Linked DNA regions of Arabidopsis thaliana. The protein of the gene in region 3 interacts with the protein of the main gene of each other region in a pairwise test. Each region holds a gene or a part of one and is shown on either strand. Other genes may lie near its edges.

Region 1 (6,913 bases), on a different chromosome or scaffold from region 3:
TTATACAGATCAAAGAGAAAGAGAGAATGAGTGAGTGATTCTTCTGGTATTGTTTTGGATTTCTAGGGGTTGAAGAGCTTCAGTAAGGCTGCAAGGGATCTTCTTCAGCGTATCCAGAAGATCGATAGCGATAACTACCCTGAGGTTACTATGTTGTTTTCTTAATGGTTTTGAAATAGTTTGTAATTATCTCTATCAAGTTAAAATGGCACTAAGAATTGTTTTTGTGTTTATGGATCATATAGACATTGAACCGTATGTTCATTATCAACGCTGGTAGTGGATTCAGGCTTCTGTGGAGCACTGTGAAATCTTTCCTTGACCCAAAGACCACCGCAAAGATTCACGTAAGCTTTTTTTCTGTTTTGTGTCACTTCAAAGATCCAAACTTTAAGGTCTACGGTTGTCCGAAATCTCATGTCCCTCATGTACAGGTTCTTGGCAACAAATACCAAAGCAAGCTGCTTGAGATTATCGACTCCAAGTAAGAGAGTAACAGAGCTCCATAACTCTGCATTTTAGCTGCAAATTCGTAATCTGAAAACTATCTGTTCTTTATTTGTGTTTAGTGAACTTCCTGAGTTCTTGGGTGGTAACTGCACTTGTGCAGACAAAGGTGGATGTATGCGTTCTGACAAAGGTCCATGGAACGACCCTGACATCTTCAAGGTAATTTGTAGGATAAGTAGAGAATCTTCGAAAACCGTTTAACGAAACGATGAACTGAGAAGCTGAATCTTGAACTATATACAGATGGTTCAGAACGGAGAAGGAAAGTGCCCAAGGAAGACTTTGTCAAACATTGAAGAGAAGACAATCTCAGTGGACGAGAACACAACAATGGTAAAAGCAAAATACAAAAATATCTTTGATCTTTAAAATTTACAGTAATATCTAACATTCTCATATTTTTGCTTGAAGAAATCTGATTCCTTTGCGGTGAGTTTCTCTCTTTTGTCAATAATAAAGGTTACTTCTTTAGCTCTCTCTTTCTCTGTATGACTGATTTTGAAAATCCTATTGGCAGAAGAACAAATTCGATGCAGAGAACACAAAATTCATACCGATGATTGACAAAACTGTGAATGCTTCTACATGGCCTACAAATCTCCACAAGTCAAACTATCCTGAACCTGAAGGTACACTACATTGAAACATTGACACTACACTAAATTTATTCGTGTTTTCACGTTTTGAAAACATGATTCTTTTTTTTATTACCATTCCAAACATTCATCATAGTTTCATGTCTTTGAAAAGAGATTCTGCTATTATACTATACCGCTACACTCTTCAACAAGAATACCACTTATTACCTAAATGTGTTCTTGCCGTCGCAGATTTATACTCTGCCGTGAAGCCATCGCAGAGGAGAGGAGGAGAAGGTTATTTATTCGGGGGAGTGATGTCTTTGGTGATGGGGTTAATGACTGTGGTGAGGCTAACGAAGAACATGCCAAGGAAGCTCACTGAGGCTGCCATTTACGGTGGTGAAGTGGACAAAGCAGAGACTACAATGGTGTCAAACCAAGAGTATATGTCGATGGTGAAGAGAATGGCCGAGTTGGAGGAGAAATGTAGGTCTTTGGACAATCAGCCTGCAGCGTTCTCGCCAGAGAAAGAACAGATTCTCACCGCTGCTCTCAGCCGTGTCGACGAGCTAGAGCTTCAGTTGGCTCAGACCAAAAAGGTACAAAGTTAAACAGCCTCCATAACTAGTTTCTTATTTTAGAGTTTAGAAGTTTGAATTTAGACTATTTTGTTCATTTATAAAAGTTAAAAGCTATTTTAATTCTTTTGATCTAAAATTTAGACCATTTTCATAATCCTGTTATAAATCAATTTTATTTTGTTGAAAATTCAGACGCTGGAGGAAACCATGGCAACGCAGCATGTGATAATGGCTTATATCGACAAGAAGAAAAAGAAGAAGAAGGTAACAACAAACTAACACATTTTAAAACACTCTTTTTCAAGATTTATTCGTACTTGATTTTGTTTACGTATTTATATGTTTTTTTTGTTTTTGTTTTCAGTTCTTTGGATTCTGAAAGACTTGATAATGCCTCAAGACTTTGAAGAAACCTGGAAAAATATATATAAATCCATATTTATTATATATATAAACATAAATATTATTCGTGAAGAGTTTTTACAGATAAAAATGTGGGAAATTTTCTTTCTGTAAATGTTTTGTTGTTTGTCCCTCTGGAAATATCTGAAAGCTTATGTTTACCACTTATCAATTCTTTCACACCTAATTTGTAACGTACCAAAAACAAAAATATATATGTTATAATATTATATAAAAAGCTATTGTTCATATATATATAAATCAACAATGTTGTAAAACAACTTAGAATTTCAACAAAAACCGGTTAATTGCAAGCAAAGATAAGCAATTCTCGGGTTTTGTGTTACTCTGTAGTTGGTTTCTCTATGGATTCTTCACTATCTTGGAGCTTGAAAACACGGAAAATTGCTAGATTTGTATCTCCTGCAAGTCACACAAAGAGTTTAACCTCATTGATCGGTCCATCACATTCACAGAGAGAGAGATGGAAAATCATGCGAAAAGATTGGTGTACCAAAGGTGATTCGTGTTCCGGGAAAGGCAGGAGCAGCAACACCAGGAATTAGACGTTTGTCTTCGATGAATGTACCGTTGGTGCTGTTCATATCCGTCACAAGAAGGTTCTTTTCATTCGTATTGATTGTCGCATGGACTCCTGACACTGAGGTTAAAAGACTAGGAGTGTTGGATTCTGATCCAAACTAAAGCAATAAACCATCTACAATCGAAAATCTAGTACCGAATCCGAACCTAAACCCGAAACCAAAACTATATCAAATTGATTCATATTAAAACCAAATTCACTTTGATTACAAATTCAAGAAAACCGAAAACCACAAGAACAGAGAAATACCGGTGGCAACAGGAATCACGACGTCAGCCTTTTCCGGTAGCCGTCCGATGGTAACTTGGCCCTGCTCAATACCCATTTTTGTGATCTTAGCAAAAACTAAAAACTCATCAAAATCAATCAATCTAGTGGAATGTATAGTTTCTTACAGAGGAGATCTCAAAAGGAGCAGGCATTGCCACTTTGTAACCAATGTGTCTTGTGTCTCCATCGCCTATAAGTTTTCAGGCAAAAAGACTTTCAAGACTCAAAAAGATTAAAGAAGCTCATTGATATTAAACCTAGAGAAACAAAAAAATAGCCTCTGACCAACTGGTTTGAGAAGCCACCGTTCTCCTCCGGAAGTTGGGGATTGATTCTCATCCAAGGAGGCGCGTGTTGTTCTCACCACCGGTGCATGACTTCTTGGTTTCTTCGCAATGAAGCTAATATTACTGATCTGCTCATTCTCTCTCAAGCAGTTTACTGAAACAGCTCCATTTAGGTTGTTTCTATTACTGTTTCCATAGAAACAGAAAAGTGATGATGATGATGATGATGATGAAAACTTAACTCGAGAGCACAATTGGGATATTGTTATCTCCATTTTCTCTTCATAAAAACTGATTGATCTTACAAAAACAAAATATGAAGTAAAGAAAAATGCAAAAACTTTTGAGATACGTTAAGAGATAATCACTATATGGGATATGTGGCTACAATATCTTGTATCTGGATAAAAACAAAATCCTAAAAAAAAACAGAATCCTGATTAATAATTTCGATACTCTTTTTTCGTTTTGCATTAACAAGTTTACAGTTACAGATTTTTTTATGATTATAAAAATAAAACATATAATATAAAGTGGCTCATAATCACAGAAGGAAACAGAGCTCTCTGTATTAGCTTTAACATCAAATCAGATATAAGAGTTTTTGTTTTGTTTTGTTGTTTATACTTAAGAACAGCGAATTACGAAAGAGGGAGATTTTGATGCCTGGTGCTGGTTTTTCTTGGCTTTGCTTCAGAAGCAAAAGAGATGTTTCTTCTTCTTCTTCTTCATCTTCTGGAACTGAGCTTCTTCTTGACGATCAATGTAAGCAAGTAACTCTTCCTGTCTCATCAAAGCTTCGTAAAGGGCCTTTTTAGTAGCTATGAGCTCTGCTTCAAGTGCGTCTACTCTGCAGACGGCTGCGTTTAACAGTTCTTCTTTCTCGTATGGCATCTCATTTGGCTTTGATTGGAGCGTTCCGATTTTACCTTCCAGCTCTGTCAGTTTCTTCGTCACACAGTTTAGTAGATCAGTTTCCGTGAGGTCTGGTACAGGAGAAGGAGGACGACACTCCTCTTTAACTCCTTCACCGTTAGAACCAAGTTCTATTGCGTTTCCTTGGGTTTCTGCTGGGGAAGAAGTAGTAGTCGCTGGAAGTTTCTTTGTTACAGTGCGGAAGAATGTGAAAACCGCCATCAAGAATGCCATGAACATTACTAGGACTCGAGCCTTGATGCCTTCATGATCTTTTGGAACGGTGGGAGACATTAAAGCTCCTGAAGGAAACAGATAAGAGTTAAGATCACCAAACAAAGAAAGACCAAAAAAACTCTGTTTTTATAACCAACTCCAAAACAATCCTAATAAGAAAATAAATCCTATGTAAACAAGGATTAGGTTAAATTCTTTTCCTTCAGTATTTGGTTCTAAACCGGAGCCTACTGGTACGTAAAGCATATAGCAGCTAACTAACTAACCTCTTGAGGCAACTCTCTGGATGGCGGGTTTCACCTTCCAGGTGGCGTCAACGGCTTTGTCCACCATAGGTACATACTCGTCATAACCCGGAAAACTACCAGCCAAGCTTGTTTCACCAGCTATCTTTGCCTGCAAAGCCTCAGGATAAACATCTACTACTTCCCCAACTAGAAGATAGAAAGAAAGAGAAAAAAGTTACCTCCTCACGAACAGGTGTCAAGCGGAGATGAGAGAAACTCTTTATAGCCTTCGGAGAACCGATATCTTCAGCGTCAGATCCTGACTCTGCAGTGGATGTGTCACTTCCCTTTATCTATGTTTATGACAGAGCAGAGTTTAGGCACAATATGGTCAGCCACAAGTTAAAGATTGACTAGTTATAGGATTTAATAACTACGTACCCATGTATATGAAGGTTTTGCATAAGCAATGACTTTCCCTTCGCTGTTCAACACTTTCACCACCTGCCTCGCTCGATGTGCTCCTCCATGAAGCACCATCTGAAATAATGAGAAGAAAACCAAATGTCTCAGATTCCAACTTGGATGATACAAATAGAATCCAAAAAGAGATTAGTCTAAGTAAATGACCTTCACAATTTCCGGGTTTTTCCAAGGTCCCTTGTCAGAAAGCATGCAACCGCCTTGATCTGCGCAAGTACATGCACCTCCCAAGAACTCAGGCAACTCGCTATAAAAAAGTGCAGACCATTTTGAACATAAGCAAAAACAAAAAAACGTGCAGCTTTCGATAGAACAGATCAAATAAGGGTGGGTCAAGGTTCACATACTTGACATCAATGACTTCAAGCAATTTGCTTAGATACTTGTATCCGAGTACCTACATAAACAATAGAATAGTCCATATTGAATTCTATATAATCAAAGACAAGACTTTTAAATAGAGATATAACTTAGATCTCTCATACATGAATTTTAGCAGATGTCTTAGGGTCAAGAAAGCTCTTGACAGTGTTCCAGAGTAGCCTAAATCCAGGCCCTGCATTGATAATAAACATTTGGTGGAGAGTCTGCATGAAATACCACAAAGCCAAGATTAGCATTTGATACCTGAGATCAAGTATTAGAAGCTCCAATTAACTAATACCTCAGGATAATTGTCTCCATCAATCTTTTGTAATCGTGTGATAAGATCTCGAGCAGACTTGTTAAAGTTTTTCAATCCCTGAATATGAAGTTATATAAACACATGAGAAAAAAACTCATTTCACAACTAATATCATGAACTGTAGAAAATACTTACCACTCCTTGAACATCAAGAATAGTTGTACTTGAATCAATATGCCTCTTTGCAGAAATAGTGCAGGAAGGAAACTTGATCATAAAGCTCCTCTCAAACTCCTTTACATGATATCTTACATATCGATCCATGCTTGTAACTTGCATGAGTCTGTTAGGATCAACTTTCCCTAGCCTTTCAATGTAAATAGGTCTACCTTCTTTGTCAACACCGTGATAACATTGTGGGTAATGTTTCAAAACTTCATTAATCTCTTCGAAATCAAAATCCTAACGAGAGAAATAAAACGTTACAAAAACAGACAACAATGGTTTAAACTACTATCTTCTATTTAATAGCATACCTGAATAATAGTGTCAGTACCAAACTCTTTCCTCCATTGAATCATATCAGCCCACATTTGTTTAGCTTTCTCAACATCAAATTTCCTCGCTTTCAAGAACCTCAACATCATATGATAATCATCGTGTCTATCAGGAAGCAACTCGTCCATTAACAACGACTGTCGAAACGCATCAACAGCTTGTAGCTCCTCGACATCCCTCACATCCTCAATGGATACAGAACTCACTCGACCATCACTTTTTCTTCTTCCGCTCTTTTTCTTAAGAGAATGCTTGAACTTAGTAGAGGCATTAATGGCTTTCTTTTTCAAGGAACCGATTCTTGTTCTCCTCTCATCCTCTGAATTCTCAAAATCTGACTTTCTTTCCTTTTTCTCATCACTGCTCAAGAATCCCTCAAAACCTGTAGTGAAAGCTGTTTTGATTTGATGAGACACATTAAAAATTATCTAAAGCAATACACATTATTTAACCAGCTCAACAACATATATTGAAGACACGAGAAAGCAAAGAGACACAATTTTTAGATTCTCATTATTATATTAGACACAATTCCAAGTTTAAGCTACAGTAAACCTAGAAAAAAGCTAACCCAGAAGCAAGAACATTACAAAGAAGATTGAGATCTCTTACATGGTCTTGCAAATCGATCAA
Region 2 (6,792 bases), on a different chromosome or scaffold from region 3:
ACAATAGTGGACTATACCTGACAAGCTAAATCACGGGCATTTTTGCCAAGGGAAAAGCCCAAGGATCTGAGACCAGCGCTCATCGGATAGCCACATTTGGAACAAGAATCCTCACTACTTTTTTCAGATAATAAGTTGTAACAACAGCCAATGCTCACTAATGCTTTAACTTCTTCACACTCCATAAAAGTCCTGACGAAATCAAGTTGCATATTGGTTCAGCTTTCACGGGCTAACACAGCAATCAGGACCAATACTGTATTCAGAAGATAACAGATATCGCAAATGAATAATTGCAGCAAACATTTTAACTAACCTTAGCATTGTAACTGATAGATCTCCACATGCATGAAGGCCAGCAAGAACAAGTGAACACGATCTGTTTGCATCACTTGATGATTGTGATCTGCTTTGACCTTCTTCATTCAATGCACTTCCACTAGAATCCGTCTCATCCTTCTCCAGATGAACATCAGTCAAGGCCTTCAACATTTCTGTGGATAAAACACGGCATGTAATCGTCATTGGAACATCTGGGCACTTGTTTCCTGAACTAACAGAGAAGAGGTTAAGTAGCATTCACAAGTCTAAAATACCAGAACTGTGCACAAAGAATTAGGAAAACAATGAGCGACTCTTCAAGCTAAAAATGGAAAGAGACATCTGATACTTGGTAAAGGTTTGAAATAAACTTATAATGAGCTAACCCCTTACCCAGATTTACGCATCTGTGCTGCAAAATGCTTTTTTATGCGTGCTGCGCGTGCATCTGTTACCTTTCCATGATGAGAGGAAGAATCGATTGCAACCACTGAGTGCTTATATTGGAAAGAGAGAACCTGCGCTAGATAACCCTGGACAAAACATTTACCAATGATGTTATTTAACACACTTTAGGAAAGCTATAATATACTACAAAGTTACTAAAACTCTGATATGAAAGAAAAACCATCACTCGAAATATTCCTTAAACAGCCAAAAAGAGAATTCACCAATGCAGACGAGAAAAAGGAACCATGCAATTAAGATTGATAGTTAAACAAGAGAAAGGGATTGAAGATACCTGGCCAGCACCGACATCAACAACAGTAGGAGCTCCAACACTCTTAACAACTGAGCTAACAACAGAGGAAAGAACTTCAACCTGCATGATACCATAATAAGTGACCTACAGATCCATTCAAATGAAGTGGCCAGTATAAGATACATTTGACAAATACCTTACGTTTAAACAAACATAAGTTTTGTACTAAGAAACTTTTATATAAAATGCTATGAGCTGTTAATGATCCTCAATTTCATGTTTTACGCGTGAAGTGGCAGATAACTTTGCCAGAATTTGATGGTAAAAAGACTTGAACAGCTACAAAAAAAATATATACTCTCTTTTGAATTTAAGGTTCTTGGATTGGGATTAGTCACCAGATGCAATCTACTGAAATTCCTACCAAAACAAGACATCATTGAAAGACACGACTTGCACCTCTGGATAGTGAAGTGTGAAGATAAAAATGTACCTCATGTTTTTTCTTAAGATTCATGCCCTGTGAAAGAACGGTGCTAAGAGGTACCATATCCACGTCTGCGAGTATCTGCCAACAGTCGAAAATGATTAAACTTTATTTAGTCTAGGATCTAAAAATACTAATCCTGAAACAGCACAAACAGGTAAAGAGAATACAATACCGCCTGTAAATCCGCTTGCTCTCGAGGAAACGATAGAGACCTCAACGTGTGAACAAATTTCTTTAGTGAAGCAGGCCAGTGATCCTATAATCAAATACTATAATCAATCATCTCCTTTCCAAACTAAAATAAAAATCTACCCTTTCTATCAAATATCTCAATCATGAAGACTGAGACCAGAACTTTACCTGGACACCACCGGAGGGAATAAGAAGAATATTTTCCGGCTTCTCATCCTTTAAGCAACTCATCCATTCCTCATTAACAGCTTCCCATTGCTTATCCTGGAATACAAACCCATCAATCAACTCATAACCCAACTCGAAGCTGAATTTAAAATTGTTTCCGATAATCGATCATACCTTGAAGAAATTGACAACGTGAGCATTGATTAGGAAAGAAAACGGTTTAAGGAAATCGATAATGGCTGTGATCCATTCTAGGGTTTCGGCTCTCGTTTTGCAAGAAAACTTATTGCTCTTCATTATCCCGATGACCTGAGTAGCAGCAACGATTCTAGTTTCCGCCGCCAAAAGCCAACCAAACAGCAAACACTTGCTTTTAACCGTCAAAATGTTTTCTAAAAATACCTCGTAAATTTTAATTTATTCAATTTAGCCCACATTTATTTATTCTGTTGTCAATACACCCATATTGTCACGTGGCCGAGTCTTCAAGAGACTCTAACTGCACCGGAAGGTTTTGACTCATGCCCCCTCCTACACTTCCTCTCATTCTCTTGTATTAACACTCTACTTCACCAAATACAATTATCACAAAAATGATAGCAATACACAGTAAATCTTTTAAACCATGTTCCAAAGAATGTAGCAGAAAGCAAATACTAGTATTCGTAATATTTAAACTAAACAACTGGTTACATAAATCCAACATGAAAACTGACTACTTAAACTTAAAGCAACTTAAAGTAGACCCAAATTTTAGTTACTGATGTTTGTCTTGATCGTCGCCGTCTTCTTCTTCTTCACCGTTTTCATAGTCATCAACCTCTACTGCGACTTGAGGGAAGTCTCTATATTCGCTACACATGTTATGACCATATATGATAACATAAAAGGTCCTGTCGCGGTCATAGATGAACTGCAAATACTTGCCATCTTCGAGATTGTTATCTTTTACAAAATTCTCCCAACCAACTGTAAGAAACACTTTCTCTCCTCTTTTCTTCATCCTAACCGTCCAAGATCTCCCACTATAGTCCAGGAGGTCCACAGTTATTGGAAATGGTGCTGGGAAGTATTCGTTGAATCCCAAGGGGATTTCCTAATCAAACATTTATATATAAAAAAACAACTCTCAGGAGACATTCCAAGAGCAGCAACGTAGAAACAATGGACTTGCTATTTTTCACTTTTCAGCCCCGCAGAAATGTTTGGTTCAAGCAGCCTATAACAACACCAACACATAAACTTCATTCTAAATCTAGCAAGATTCAGTAAGCTTTCATTTGCTTTTTGCTAATTTAAAGCTAACAAAAGCAATTAAAGGACCTAAGTTATTAGCTCCATGAAAATGAACTAAAGCAATTTACCCTAAACCATAAGTCTCCAAATCAGAACACTAAACACATATTTTGAACTTGTTGAAATAAGAAAATAAAAAAGAAGAAAGATAGAGAGCCATGCTCACCAATGATTTAGATGACTTTTCTGAGATGAAAGGCTTCATAAATTGAACCTCACCAGTGTCAGCCATGGAATAGAGTGAGACCAAATGTAGCTACAAGCAAAATCCAGAAATTGAAATGAAGAAAACAAAGAGAAGTGAAAGAGAGAAACCTTGAAAACAAACACTTTTTGTAATGCAGAAACAGAGAGAGAGCTTCAATGGTCCCGAGTGGACTATTTCAATTTTCTCTGTAAATCAAAAAGATGAAATGAGGAATTGATGTCATAGTCAAACAACTTGCCACCTTTTGACCAATCACTGCTTTTCTATTCTACAAGGCCACACCATACAAAAAGTACAAAACCAAACTCTTATTACTATTGGGCCAAATTATACAGCCCAATAGCCCAATAACGAGCTGAGACAAATCCTATCGACCTAGAAGATCCAACTTAAAACCCTAGAGTTCTCTCCACTATTTAAAGACCTCAAATCTTTTGATGTACGACTCAGAATTCTTCGAAACAGCGTCTGCTCTAGAAATTCAGTGTTTTCTCGAAGCTTCATTACTATTTTCTAGGGAAAAATTTAGAAGTTATTTTGTCTATTGTGTTGTGTTTTCTTAGATTTAAAGTCGATGTTTTACTCTTAATAAAGAGGAGAGAGCGGTGATAATGATGATGAAAGATGATTCCATAGAACAATCCAACTCTGACCATCATTGATGATCTTACCATCATGCACTACCATCTGAATCTCGCTCTCCCTTAAATCCTTTTCTTTTAGTATGAAATCGTTGATTTTGTTTTCTCAGAATCGGATTTTGTCGGATCTTTTAGTTTTGTCTCAATTTGCCTTAAATCGATTGAGAAAAATTCATCATTGGTTGATTTGGTTCTAAGTATTTCATACCAAAGTTCTGATTGTTATTTCTGTTGTTAAATTGATTTGGTATTTTTTTCTTCGTTTGCGTTCATAAGTCATAATGCAGATTTAACTCATATCAACAGGTTGATATTCAATAGCAAAAATTTGGCCTGAAAGAAGGAAAAGTAATCCCCTCAGAATTCAATTCTCATGGACTAAATTAATCTAGAAACGTAATTGTAACAATTGTCTAGAACTATTTTGATGGTAGTTATTCCGAAAACGATTAGTTCTGCAACATGAACACTCATCTTAATTAATCACTTTCGCAGATAATCGCAAAATAAGTTATAAATCCATAAAATTATGAAAGATATTCTGATTTGTGTCGATGAGGTTCACACAGATGTGGTATTTGAGGATGACTTTTAGAAAAGGATTTTATTTCATTGGAACTCAGAAAATAATGTAAACTGGGCCTATTTAGTTAGCCGATGACCAAATTTTCTTTAATGTCAGTCAAAAGCCCGTTAAGTAAAAACCTTCAACATAATTGGTGCTTTCACTTTTTCCATCAGTGGACGGGCCCAAAGCCTGCTTTTCTGATTTACCTGTCTTTTTAATAGGTTGATTAACGTCTCTTACCCTTTACGAGAGCCCATAACGGCTAGTTTATTCTCTGCGATCAGACGTGTCATCATCGTGGCGGCCCAGTTACATCGTCTGCTCTATTTTCCGGCTACAGAAATTGAAATTTTGTTTTAATTTGAACCCCAAGGTTTTGAGAATCATTAATTTCTTCCCACTGTTTCTACATTGTCCATAAATATCCACGTTTATAAATTTAACAACTTTACAGGAAGAAAGAGGAATCAAATCTTACGTTGTGAAGTCTTTAATAAGCATGGGGCATTTAGATAGATCTTAAATTTATGGGGAGATAACAGAAATTTGGAAAACTAGGGTATCAGTGAAAAATGGTCAAAATCAGAATCAATTTGCAATACTTAAAATTATTAGGGATTTTTCTATCCACTATGTATAAATAAATCGCAAATTGGCAACTAGCCGTTACGATCTCTCTATCTCTCTCTCTTTTAAAAATTCAAAAACTTAGGAACTTTTTACATTCACAATCTTGCAGATTCTTGCATATTTTCTTTCCTTTAACGAGCGCAAAAAATCTGAGATTTGTTAAATAACCCATTCTGATTTCCGGAGTGATTTTCATTCATGGCGTCTTCTCCAGCAAAGAACAAGATCTCTGTTTCTCCTTCTTCTCTATTCTCTTCCTCTTCGCCTTCAATGCCTTCCAGACCAAACCCTAAGCAAAGAAACTCGGAAACCGGAGATCTGATGCGTCGCAGTTTCCGAGGCAATCCATTTTCGGCAGATCCGTCCCGGAGAAACTCAATCGGTAGAGAATGCAGTAATCGTGTTGAGATTGGTGATAAAGAGAATCAGAACGACAAGGATCAAATCGCTAATGTCGTCAAAGGTCCAACAAAAGGTTCCAAGCATTTCATGTCACCGACAATTTCAGCCGTTTCCAAGATCAATCCATCGCCGAGGAAGAAGATCTTGTCTGATAAAAACGAAGTGTCTCGATCCTTTGACAAATCCCATCACCAGGTTCAGGTAAAGTCGTCTGTCTCGTTTTCTGATGTGATAAGCATCATTGGGGAAGATAAAGATGTAGACCAGATTTGCATCGATGAAACTAAGCAGCTTCGTGAAGAGGAATCACATGATATTACTGTCAGTGATTTCGATGAGATTCTTGAGAGGAAGAGTAATGATAATTCAAGCTTCAAGATCAGTCCTCTTCCTCCTTATGTTCCATGCACATTTCCTGTGTTTGAGTCTCATGAAGTGGATCCAGTGGTGGCACCTTATGATCCAAAGAAGAATTACTTGTCACCGAGGCCTCAGTTTCTCCATTATAAGCCAAATCCAAAAATTGAGCATCGTTCTGATGAGTGCAAGCAGCTTGAGGAGCTTTTCATCTCTGAAAGCTCTTCTTCTGACACTGATTTGTCTGCAGAACGAGAGGAGGAAGGTCAACAAGAGGAGGAAGTTGCTTCTCAGGAAGGTGTAGTTGCAGTAGAAGAACAAGAAGATGATGGTGAAGAGCGTTTGGAAGCCGCAGAGGAAATTCTGGATGTTGATGGTGAAGAGCGTTTGGAAGCTGTAGAGAGTGATGATGAAGAAGAAGAAGTAGTAGTTGGCGAAAGCATTGAAGAAGAAGAAACTCATCAGATTTCAAAACAGTCTCGTTTCAGCAAGACATCCATGTTGCTTGGTTGGATTTTGGCTCTTGGTGTGGCGTATCTGTTGTTGGTTTCTTCAACGACGTTTTCTCAACAAACCATCACAGATTCACCTTTCTATCAGTTTAACATCTCTCCAGAGATCATAATGTCTGCTAGCGAGAACTTTGAGCAGTTGGGTGCAAAGCTGAGGATGTGGGCAGAATCATCATTTGTGTATCTTGATAAGCTGGTCTCAAGTCTACGAGAAGAGGAGGGAAGTGTTCCTTTTCAATTTCATAACTTGACAGTTCTTTTGGAAGACAAAAGGTTGTCTGATGCTGTTTTCCAGTCAACTAGT
Region 3 (9,182 bases):
CTGGAGATAAGGAAGGTTGAAAGAGACGGAGGAGAGGGAGCCTGAGTAACCGGCTTGGTCCAGACTGAGCTCCGTGACCCGACCCGATCCGGTAACGACGGAGTCGCAGCGGAACCCACAAGTGAATGTGTCGCTGAATATATTGTCGCAGGGATCGACGGAGAAATCCCAAGAACTCAGGCAAGAGCCTGGACTCATGGATTTGGCATCCACTGAGTTCTTGAAGTCTTTGAGAGCTGCCACGTCACCCCAGAAAGTCTTGGACTCTGCTGAAGATAAAGTGAGCAAAAGAAGAAGAACAAGGGAAATAAGTGAAGCCATTACAAAAGAGAGATGGTTAGCTCTGCTGAGAGATGTTTGGAAGAAGAAGAAGCAGAGTGGGTTTGGAGTGAATAATGACCGTTGGATGAGAGGGTCAAGGCGTGTGATAGATCTACAGAAAGTTGCTCTGAAACTTGAAAGACAGAGGAATTTATATATAGAGAGATTGAGATATTAAAATAGATAGTGTAAATTTATATCATGTGTGTCATTGTCCATCAGACATATGCGTGAAGACAACAACATCTGTACAGTGAGGTGTGGTTGGCCCTATCCCCATCCACCATAACTCAGAGGTTATGAGTTTTAGATTCTGTTGAGATTCCAAAGCAGAACAACTCTTGATTTAGGATTATTTGACATATTACCAATTCACATGTCATAAATTGACTAATAAACTTTACAATTTATTTCATTTTCTCCCATATGTGACGTACCCATTTGACCAGAAGTTGTCAAAATCTAAACTAGTCTTGGTTGATGACATAGATAGAAGAAGTAATTATAGCCTTACAGGAAGCAAGGTTGATGGGTTAATGAATGTGCAGCTGTTGCAAGCAAAGGTTCCAAATCATTGGCTCTAACTAACTTTAAATCTATGGAAGACGACGAAAATGTTCATATATGATAGGATCACTCATTAGCGTTAGGTGTCTAAAACTCTAAACCTAAGCCATGTGGGACACTAAATCATCCTAACGGGTCACTAAGACTATGCAGAGATTGGTAAAACAAAAGGTACTAACATAATCTATTGGCACCATCTGAATTTGTTGTCGTCCTTGCTTTTCGTCGGTATGTTGTTCTTAACGAATAATTGTCTCACTGTTTCTTTGTTAATCTTGAACTCAAAGACCATCCCTATAATAGTTAGAAAGATGCACAATTACAAAGCAGAAACTAGTGCTTACATCGATCACGATACTCTCTTCTCTGACCTTCTATTTTCCTCTAAGCTGTGATTTATGCTTATCCAGATTACTATTGAAATCGTCGACGAAGTGCGTTTGTTGCCCAATGCCATCTTTCCAGTCTCCGGAAGAAGAGATAATGGAGAAAGACAAACAGGGGAGAGAAGAGTGGATCAGGAACAGAGTCGAATGTATCCAAAGTTAGTTATGTGATTTGCTCGTGAGTCTCATGGAGAGAGAAAAACAGAGGCCCATACCTCTAGGGCTTAGTAGTTTTGTTTTACCCAGCAACAGCATGGCTTAGTTTTGGGCTACTTCATTATTTGGTCACTGAGGACTACAGTGTCGTCTTCTCTTTATGCAGCGAGCCTGCGACACTCAAATTAAAAATTCGGTTTGGAAAGCTTGATGCTGTGGACCTGAGGCTTCTGTTTTGTCCCCTTGAAATGCAATGATGGAATTGCAAATTGTCCCTCAGACGTGTTACTCTCTTATTGGTTCACAGTGAAATTTCCTAAGGCCCCACTTGCGTTCGGAGTTTAAAGTTGCTGCTTTTATCACCATCCGACATCCGTCTTCAAGATCCTTTCTACGTGCAACAACATCAAACTCTTGAGTCTTGCTTGACCAAGAAAATAAAAAGCAACTTAGGTTTTCCAAAAGAGAAATTTCGAAGACATGGTGCGAGTAGTACGGAGGAAATAATCGGGGACAAATCAGCATAAGCAAGGTGGGATTAGCTGTTTAAGGTTTAATGGGACCAATTCAATTATAGAATGATATAAATGTAAATCACAAAATGCATGATTTGTGTGCATCTTTTTTACAAGTCTTCACAACTCCATGCAACACTTAATTAAATTTTAATCCTAATGAGTTATTATAATGTTAGCTCGTTTTCCGATTCTTTTTGCATCTCGTTATCATCATGGCTTTCTTGAGGTGACGTAAATTGAATAATGAAAAAGAGAGCCTAAGAAATGAATTGGGAAAGAAGAGTTTTTTTAGGTCCAAACATAAACACCTGCAGAAATAAAGATGCATACCAATTTTACACCTTTTTCTGTTCCCCCACTCACTCATAATCTGCCGAATTTACAGCCTCACTCGTTGTAACAAAAGAATCAAAATACACATACAGTCTCACTGCTTGTCAGATTTTGGGGATTGCATTTGAGATTTGTATAGTAAAGCCCCTTCAGATGTGGCTAAAAAATACACCGTAACGTACGATGTGAAAACTATGTAAGATAGAAATATGGAGAAACTGGCTATCAGGATATATATATATAAAAAATAATGTAAAGAGTCGGATGTGGCAGTAAGTCTCTCTTCAAATGTAAGTGTACTGACATTATATCAATCATAGGAATGAGAGCATCACTTTAAAAACGGCTCAAACTGAATAAAACTTAAGATTAGGGTATGGCATATTGCCGGATATATAGTAGTCGTAGACGAACGATATACCTGTGCTAGTGTGTCTGATTTGTTGACCAAAAGCACAAGACACCTAAATACATGTCTTCACCCAAATTTCAATTTTGTAACCTTGTTTTTCACATTAATATTTCTACAGGCAAATCATAATTGCAATTAATTGACCTAAAGTAGTAATTTGAAAGGTAAATTAATGTTAAAGTAAACCTAAAAAAAGAGTAATGTGAAAAGCTGACAATAAAACAAGGCTGAGTTTAACGATCACAGTTGAAAACTGCCAGCTGCAAATCTTGCTTTTGATGTGAGCTTTCACAGAGACAGGGTCGTTGACTTTTGTAACAGTTGAAAATTGGAGTATACTATTACATTAACATTATACCTACAAAATTTGAACTTAATAATAAAAGATCAGGTAACAATTGTTTTAATAGAACATTATCTCCCTTAGTTAATTACTTTTGAAAACCAAGATTAGTACGTTATAATCTTCACCTCCGAAGATGTTTTAAAACCCTAATTCTACCGTAAGAATCTAAAAAAAAGTTATGATTTGTTGTACTCTCTCTGTGTGGAATTCAAGATCTTGAGTTGGAGAAGAAGTGCGTACCAGTCATGAAAGTGTTAATGGGAGTAGGATAATTAAGTGAGGCAGGATCGATATAATGATCTGAAGTGGAGCCAACGACTCCATTGTTGCAGCTCACGTTTGGGCTTGATGATGAGGCCGATGGGCCTGCGGTTATGAGATTCAACGGCTGAGATCCACCGCCCGAGGAGCTTCTCTCGGCCGGGCCTTGATCGTAGAGAACACCTTTGAAGACGTGACCGCCTATACTCACAGCTGTTTTATATGCATACTCTTCTTCTTCATCATCTACGGAACTCACACGCACGCACCGAAAAACTGCCGACGAGCTAACTTCCGGCGGAAAATTCCCAACCTCCAACCCTAGATAGAAAACATTTAATTAATTATTGTTAATTATAAGAAAAAATCGTAGGAGTATTTTCAACGTATGATTTGTTTGTTTGTTTTTATCTTAACTCAAATTAATAATTACAGCATTAACAAACAAATAAACAAAAACTTAATAATTACAGGATATAAACACAAATATCAAGATCAGTGAGAACAGTTTCTTCCTGTCATTCCAAGAGTCAGTCTTACTGATCTACAGTATTTCCATATTAAAAAAAAAAAATAGGAAGAAGAAAATCGTTCACCTTTTTTTTTTCTTGAAAATGAAAAAAGAAGAACAAAAAAAGCTGATCAAAATAGGGTTTCTGTTTCTGCAATTGAAACTAATAACTCAAGTTATTCAAAGCTCATTACTTTAATTTTCATTCAGGGGTGAATAACCATAAAGAGATATTATGAAATACCTGAAGTGTTGTTAGAAGGTATACGAGTGTAGGCCATGGAAGTCGATCTCGCCGGGATACGCTCTCTCTGTCGTTTAGGGACGCTCCCTCCCAGTTGCTGCGGTTGCTGACCGGTAGAAAGCTGCTGCTGGCGTTCTCGGCGTTTAGCGGCAGGAACCCACGTGCTCTTCACGTGAGTGGGACAGTCAAGGCCACGGCTCTTGCAGCAAGTCCTACATCTCATGTGAGAGCAGTCTTTCTTAGATTGATTCCCACAATCCTGGCAGCTTGGTCCGCCGCTACCGCTACCGCTTCTCATCATCATCAACGCACCGCCGGAAGTTTCAATTAAGCTCCGGTTGCTCGGTCCAACACCTAAACCCGCAGCGGAAGTGTAAAGATCCAGCCTTTGTTGCTGTTGCTGCTGCTGCTGGAAAATGATTTCTTGATTGTTTGGGTGTTGCCATAGCTCAAGGGTTCCTTTGTAAGAAGGACCAGCTTCTCCACCGTCAGCGTTAGAGTTAGGGTTTCTGCACCAAAGCCAAGATTCTGTTCCCGATGAAGAAGGATTATTAGTGTTTGTTCTGTGGTTGTCTGGAGTGTTTCCTCCTCCGCCGTGTCCTAACGAGAAAAATCCTGCCATTTTCCGATACCACCAGCCATATATGACCAATTTCAAGAAGGGCTTTGCTTTACCACATATTTACTTGCCTAGACTAAGATCTTGACTTTCAGAGAGTGAAGATCTATCAAAAGATTTTAACAGAAGAAGACAATAAAAGATCTCTCTCTTGATAGAGATCTTTAATTATGAGAGGATGAAGAAGAAGAAGACGAAAGAGATTAACTTAATGGAAGAATGTAGAGTAGTCTATATCTAGGGTTTGTTTAGAAATCGAATAGAGGTTTCTTTTAGTACTGAGAAAAAAGTTGGTTTGTCGGTATGGAGTGTATTTAAGAGGGGATAGAGAGAGAGAGAGAGATGTATCTCAGAGAGGTTTCTTTCTCTGTCTCGCGCTCTGCAACGCCGCCATCACCTTAATACTCTTCCTCTCTTATTAAATTCTCTGTCTCTCTTTTCTTTTTTGTTTGTTTTCCAGATTTTCCTTACACCAATTAATATCACAAAACACTTCTCGGACAAGATATATCTTACCGTTGATCATCACGTGTTTTAGATCCTGCGGTCAATATGTTGCCACGTTTACAACTTCGGCTTTTACTCTCTCCGTCTTTTCTCTACCGGAAAACACGCTGCCTCTTCCTTTGTTTGTCTGTTTGTGTTTGCCAAAATGCTACTATAATTAAATCCTACACTATTTGTTTATATGATTTACGTTTAGATATTAATCTGTGTATTATTTGTTCGAACGATATTTTAGTGAAATGAACGGAAGATTTCTTTATTTATGAGAAATCTATAGTTATGTAATATCTAAACTAAAACTTTATAATCATATATCGTCCTACACAACGTTGGGGACTGGGTATACTTGTATTTTTAGATTCTTTAGTTAGATTCGATGCAATTTTAATTATTATTAGCGAAATCTTGCTTTGGTTGCGTAGTGTATACCTGTGACTTTAAAATTAAGTGCCTAAAGTTCGCAGCTGGAAAACAGTTGCTTATCCATGTTTCCAAGGAAGCAAATTACTACTCTGTTATTTTTATCATTATATATACAAACTTTAATAATGAACACCTGATAGTATTAAAATATTTAATTATGTATACAATACATACACTGATGTATATCAATTGTCCCGTATACCTATACCCCATGAATCTTAATTTAATTGACCAATTAATCATTCCAAATTTTAACGAATTTCAGTTGTTTCAGAATATCAAACTACAGACAAAGTAAAAAACTGAAGATAGTTCATGGATTTTTCCAAAAGGATATGGAGAGTTGACTAATAAGAAGAGGGGCACTATAGTCATTTCCTAGTGGAAATACCCACTGTTGTGTAAAAGAGAGAATACATTTAATGAAAGTGAGGTTGTAAAAAATACATGTATTTATGAAATGGATGAAAGTTATTGTTGACATAAACAATCAGCAAAATCATCTATCCAACCTCTTCACCGTATTGTAAACAATGTTAATGTGTATCTATGAAATAGAGTATAAAAGACAACTTTAAATTTGATCTAGAAGCTGTAAATTTCAGAAATCAATTTGGATGTTTTAATGGTTTTCTTGTTATGACAATCTTAATGTATGTGAGGGTTTGTACTTTGTTGAATGCAAAAATTATGAGTGACTGAAATAGAGGAGAAGAAAATTGGGGATAGAGTTCGATGAATATATGCAATCATTTAGGACCGAGAAATTAAGAGAGGGAGTGGGCAAAAGGGACAGTGACATTCTCTCGGATTTTATTCTTGTATATAACTAAATTACAAATCCATAAATTCCAAATGTATTGGTAACATCGATTATCTTTGCAAATAGCAACAAACTCGCATAATGAAAGACTCACCATGAGCCAAAACTATTAAATTTCTTTTATTTTGGAGTTTGAATCTTGAAATTAGTACAAATAGAATAGTCTTTTTTTTCCAAAAGAAAAGGTTTAAAGTATCTTCTCGAGCACTGTGTTCTTCTTTTCTTTAAGTTTTCAGTGTCATAATTTATACAAATTTAGGTAAAGTTACTAACATTTTCTTAACTATTTAACCTTCCATTTCATGTCCTAGCAATTTTTCTAAAAACGTTGAAATTGTTTCCACTACCTTTTCTGCCAAATATCTGCACTTCAAACGCATCTAGTCATCTACCATTCTACTTGACCCCGGTACCATCTTTTGGAGATTTAGAATGTATGTTATGCCCATTATCAATAAGAAAACATGGAAATGTGGAAAGAACTTTATAAACTAGAGAATAAAGAAAAGTAAGTTTGGAGCATAGTGTTTGTTGGCTTCTAAATATCACTTGTACACAATTACACATTATTACCAATAAAGAGAAAATCACTTCTTAATATATATTTTTCTTACATAGGCAGAAAGAGAAGAGTGTTTACTACAAAAGAAGCACGCACTGATTTGTTTTTTTCACTTTCACCCATTCATTGCTCTTCTACACTCTTTTAAATCTCTCCTTTTCTCTTCAACTTTGAAACTGAAAAAGGACATAAAAGATTTGGTGGGTTATGTTTCTTTTCTTTGGAGCCAATAACGGAGCTTAGAGATTCTTGCAACTTTTTTCCCCCTTGCATCCTCCTTTACTCAATAGTAATTTATGTGTATTCTGTATCTCTTCACAAAATAATAAACAAAGACTGTCTTTCACCACAAAATCTCTTGAGAAGCTGCAAAGTTGGGTAAAACTTAAATGAAATGTACACTTTTTTATATACTACATATCCGTTTTCAGAAATAGATTTCATAAACTATGTGTTCCATATGGATCCCATTTCACCTTCAAAGGCCCCCTTTACATTTATGTATATTAATGATTATATGTTTCTCATTGCTCAAGAGAAGATTGCATCATTGAATAAAGGAAGAAAGAAAAAACATAGAGAGTGATTTGGTTCATGTGGGTCCCAAGGAAGTGGAGTCATGGTTCCTCCAAATGCCATGCTCATGCTCATGCTCATGCACATGCAGAGACGCGTATAGTCTTTCTAAGCTGATATATCAACTGAGTTATTAGATGCGACAAAATCTACTTATATAATCCACTCGACTTACTTTAACCCAAAATTTCACTAAAACAAACGTGAATCACATAACAAACTCGCAAAACTCAACCAAAACAGTTTTGCTGTTGTATGTTGAAAAATGGCAAGATATAACTAAGTTGATAGATCGGGTGCTCATGGGTTATTGAAAATCCCCCACACTAGAAACGAAGGGTGGTATCAAAGTTATAGTATAGAGGCTGCTGTAAAAAAAGTGGACCACTATTTTTCACGCCTAATTTTCTTAATTACTCTATTATTGTTAATTCCGAAGTTACAAACCCTAAATTATAAGGCTAGCCTTTATATTTATAGCATGTTCTTCTGAAGCTGATACAGTTTTCAACACATGTATCCATCATAGGAGAAATAAAAACACCAAAAGAAACTGAATCGAATTGTGACGCTTTTTCATGTGATAATACACATTATTTTGTTTTTTGTGTGTGTTTATTTTGCTTAATTTTAACATTTTCATATGAGTACCATAGGGAATTAATCAAGAAAAGAGTGGTGTGTGACTGAGGTGATATAATGTAAAGTAGAGAGTGTTGACAGATGTCATGATAATGAAAAAATCAACTGAAAGATATATATGTTTACACAATAAATCAAAATTTGGATGGAAGGGACAAAAGGAAGCATATATACCGTCCGATCATGTAGAAAAGAGATAGCAATTACACCGACGAGAATAGTAACTTGGCAACGTCATGCTTTCTTTTCAAGATTATATGAATTTTCAAACTTTATGTTCTTCCAAATAATTAGACGACTTCATGGCTCTCACGTTACCATTTGAGTACGTAGTCCACTAGCGTGGTCCAAAATTCTATATCCATCATTTTTTGTTCTTTTTCTTTTATTTTACAATCAATCAATCTATGGATGTACATATAAGTAAAAGTCTACGCCAATTGGATGATTAAGAATTAAGATAAGCGTCGTGAAGAAATAAAAAATAATTGGGCCTTGGGCTAAAGGAATATTTGAGAAGCATATAAACAATTGGCCCACAAGGCCACAAGGATCTCCTTCAAACGCTCGGAAGTTTCCGCTTTGGATTCCTGTCACCGGCGATTTCGTGGGATGATAACGACGCCGAGCTATATTTCGTGACTGAAGCAAAGTGATGATTCTTCGATTGAAAGACCAAACGCTCATCAAAATCAATTCAACTCGTTCGTACTTATCTTCCTTAGTTTTCCGACGAGATTCTCACTCGCAGGCTCGGACAAAACCCGATCACGACCGCCGGAGAAGAGGATACGAGAGGGATGTGAGAATCGAGGAGAAGAAGGAACACGATGGATTGTTTCTGTGCAAGAGCAAAGGCCAACACCTTCTTACCAACACTAGAATCCTCGACTCCATTGTTCGAAGCTCCGATATCAGGCCGACTGATACAGTCTTGGAGATCGGACCTGGCACTGGAAATCTCACGATGAAACT

What was found.
Region 1: the proteins of SHI (region 3) and AT2G21530 interact in a two-hybrid assay, tested with the Arabidopsis thaliana proteins (one large-scale study listed by BioGRID).
Region 2: the proteins of SHI (region 3) and AT1G16640 interact in a two-hybrid assay, tested with the Arabidopsis thaliana proteins (one large-scale study listed by BioGRID).

What each region holds. Positions count from the first base shown.
Region 1 is NC_003071.7:9,215,969-9,222,881, reverse strand, and holds AT2G21530 (SMAD/FHA domain-containing protein), read right to left. Parts: upstream 3,631-6,913; 5' UTR 3,511-3,630; coding exon 3,234-3,510; intron 3,139-3,233; coding exon 3,074-3,138; intron 2,989-3,073; coding exon 2,928-2,988; intron 2,736-2,927; coding exon 2,589-2,735; intron 2,498-2,588; coding exon 2,418-2,497; 3' UTR 2,274-2,417; downstream 1-2,273. Other genes in the region: SFH3 (SEC14-like 3), read left to right, coding at 67-144, 246-347, 435-484, 570-669, 754-843, 922-939, 1,028-1,139, 1,341-1,690 and 2 more; AT2G21520 (Sec14p-like phosphatidylinositol transfer family protein), read right to left, coding at 3,929-4,452, 4,654-4,783, 4,854-4,967, 5,056-5,154, 5,245-5,344, 5,445-5,494, 5,583-5,684, 5,762-5,839 and 3 more.
Region 2 is NC_003070.9:5,683,373-5,690,164, reverse strand, and holds AT1G16640 (AP2/B3-like transcriptional factor family protein), read right to left. Parts: upstream 3,641-6,792; 5' UTR 3,403-3,640; coding exon 3,337-3,402; intron 2,971-3,336; coding exon 2,632-2,970; 3' UTR 2,438-2,631; downstream 1-2,437. Other genes in the region: AT1G16650 (S-adenosyl-L-methionine-dependent methyltransferases superfamily protein), read right to left, coding at 18-192, 317-553, 715-854, 1,064-1,168, 1,518-1,592, 1,687-1,770, 1,875-1,970, 2,049-2,171; AT1G16630 (uncharacterized protein), read left to right, coding at 5,416-6,792.
Region 3 is NC_003076.8:26,501,467-26,510,648, forward strand, and holds SHI (Lateral root primordium (LRP) protein-like protein), read right to left. Parts: upstream 5,344-9,182; 5' UTR 4,678-5,343; coding exon 4,056-4,677; intron 3,622-4,055; coding exon 3,280-3,621; coding exon of another isoform or gene 3,248-3,279; exon of another isoform or gene 3,052-3,247; coding exon of another isoform or gene 3,035-3,051; exon of another isoform or gene 2,475-3,034; intron 1,873-2,474; exon of another isoform or gene 1,822-1,872; coding exon 1,790-1,821; 3' UTR 1,688-1,789; downstream 1-1,687. Other genes in the region: AT5G66330 (Leucine-rich repeat (LRR) family protein), read right to left, coding at 1-321; AT5G66340 (uncharacterized protein), read left to right, coding at 1,036-1,059, 1,299-1,432, 1,576-1,687; DIM1B (Ribosomal RNA adenine dimethylase family protein), read left to right, coding at 8,863-9,182. UniProt on the Arabidopsis thaliana protein: Transcription activator that binds DNA on 5'-ACTCTAC-3' and promotes auxin homeostasis-regulating gene expression (e.g. YUC genes), as well as genes affecting stamen development, cell expansion and timing of flowering.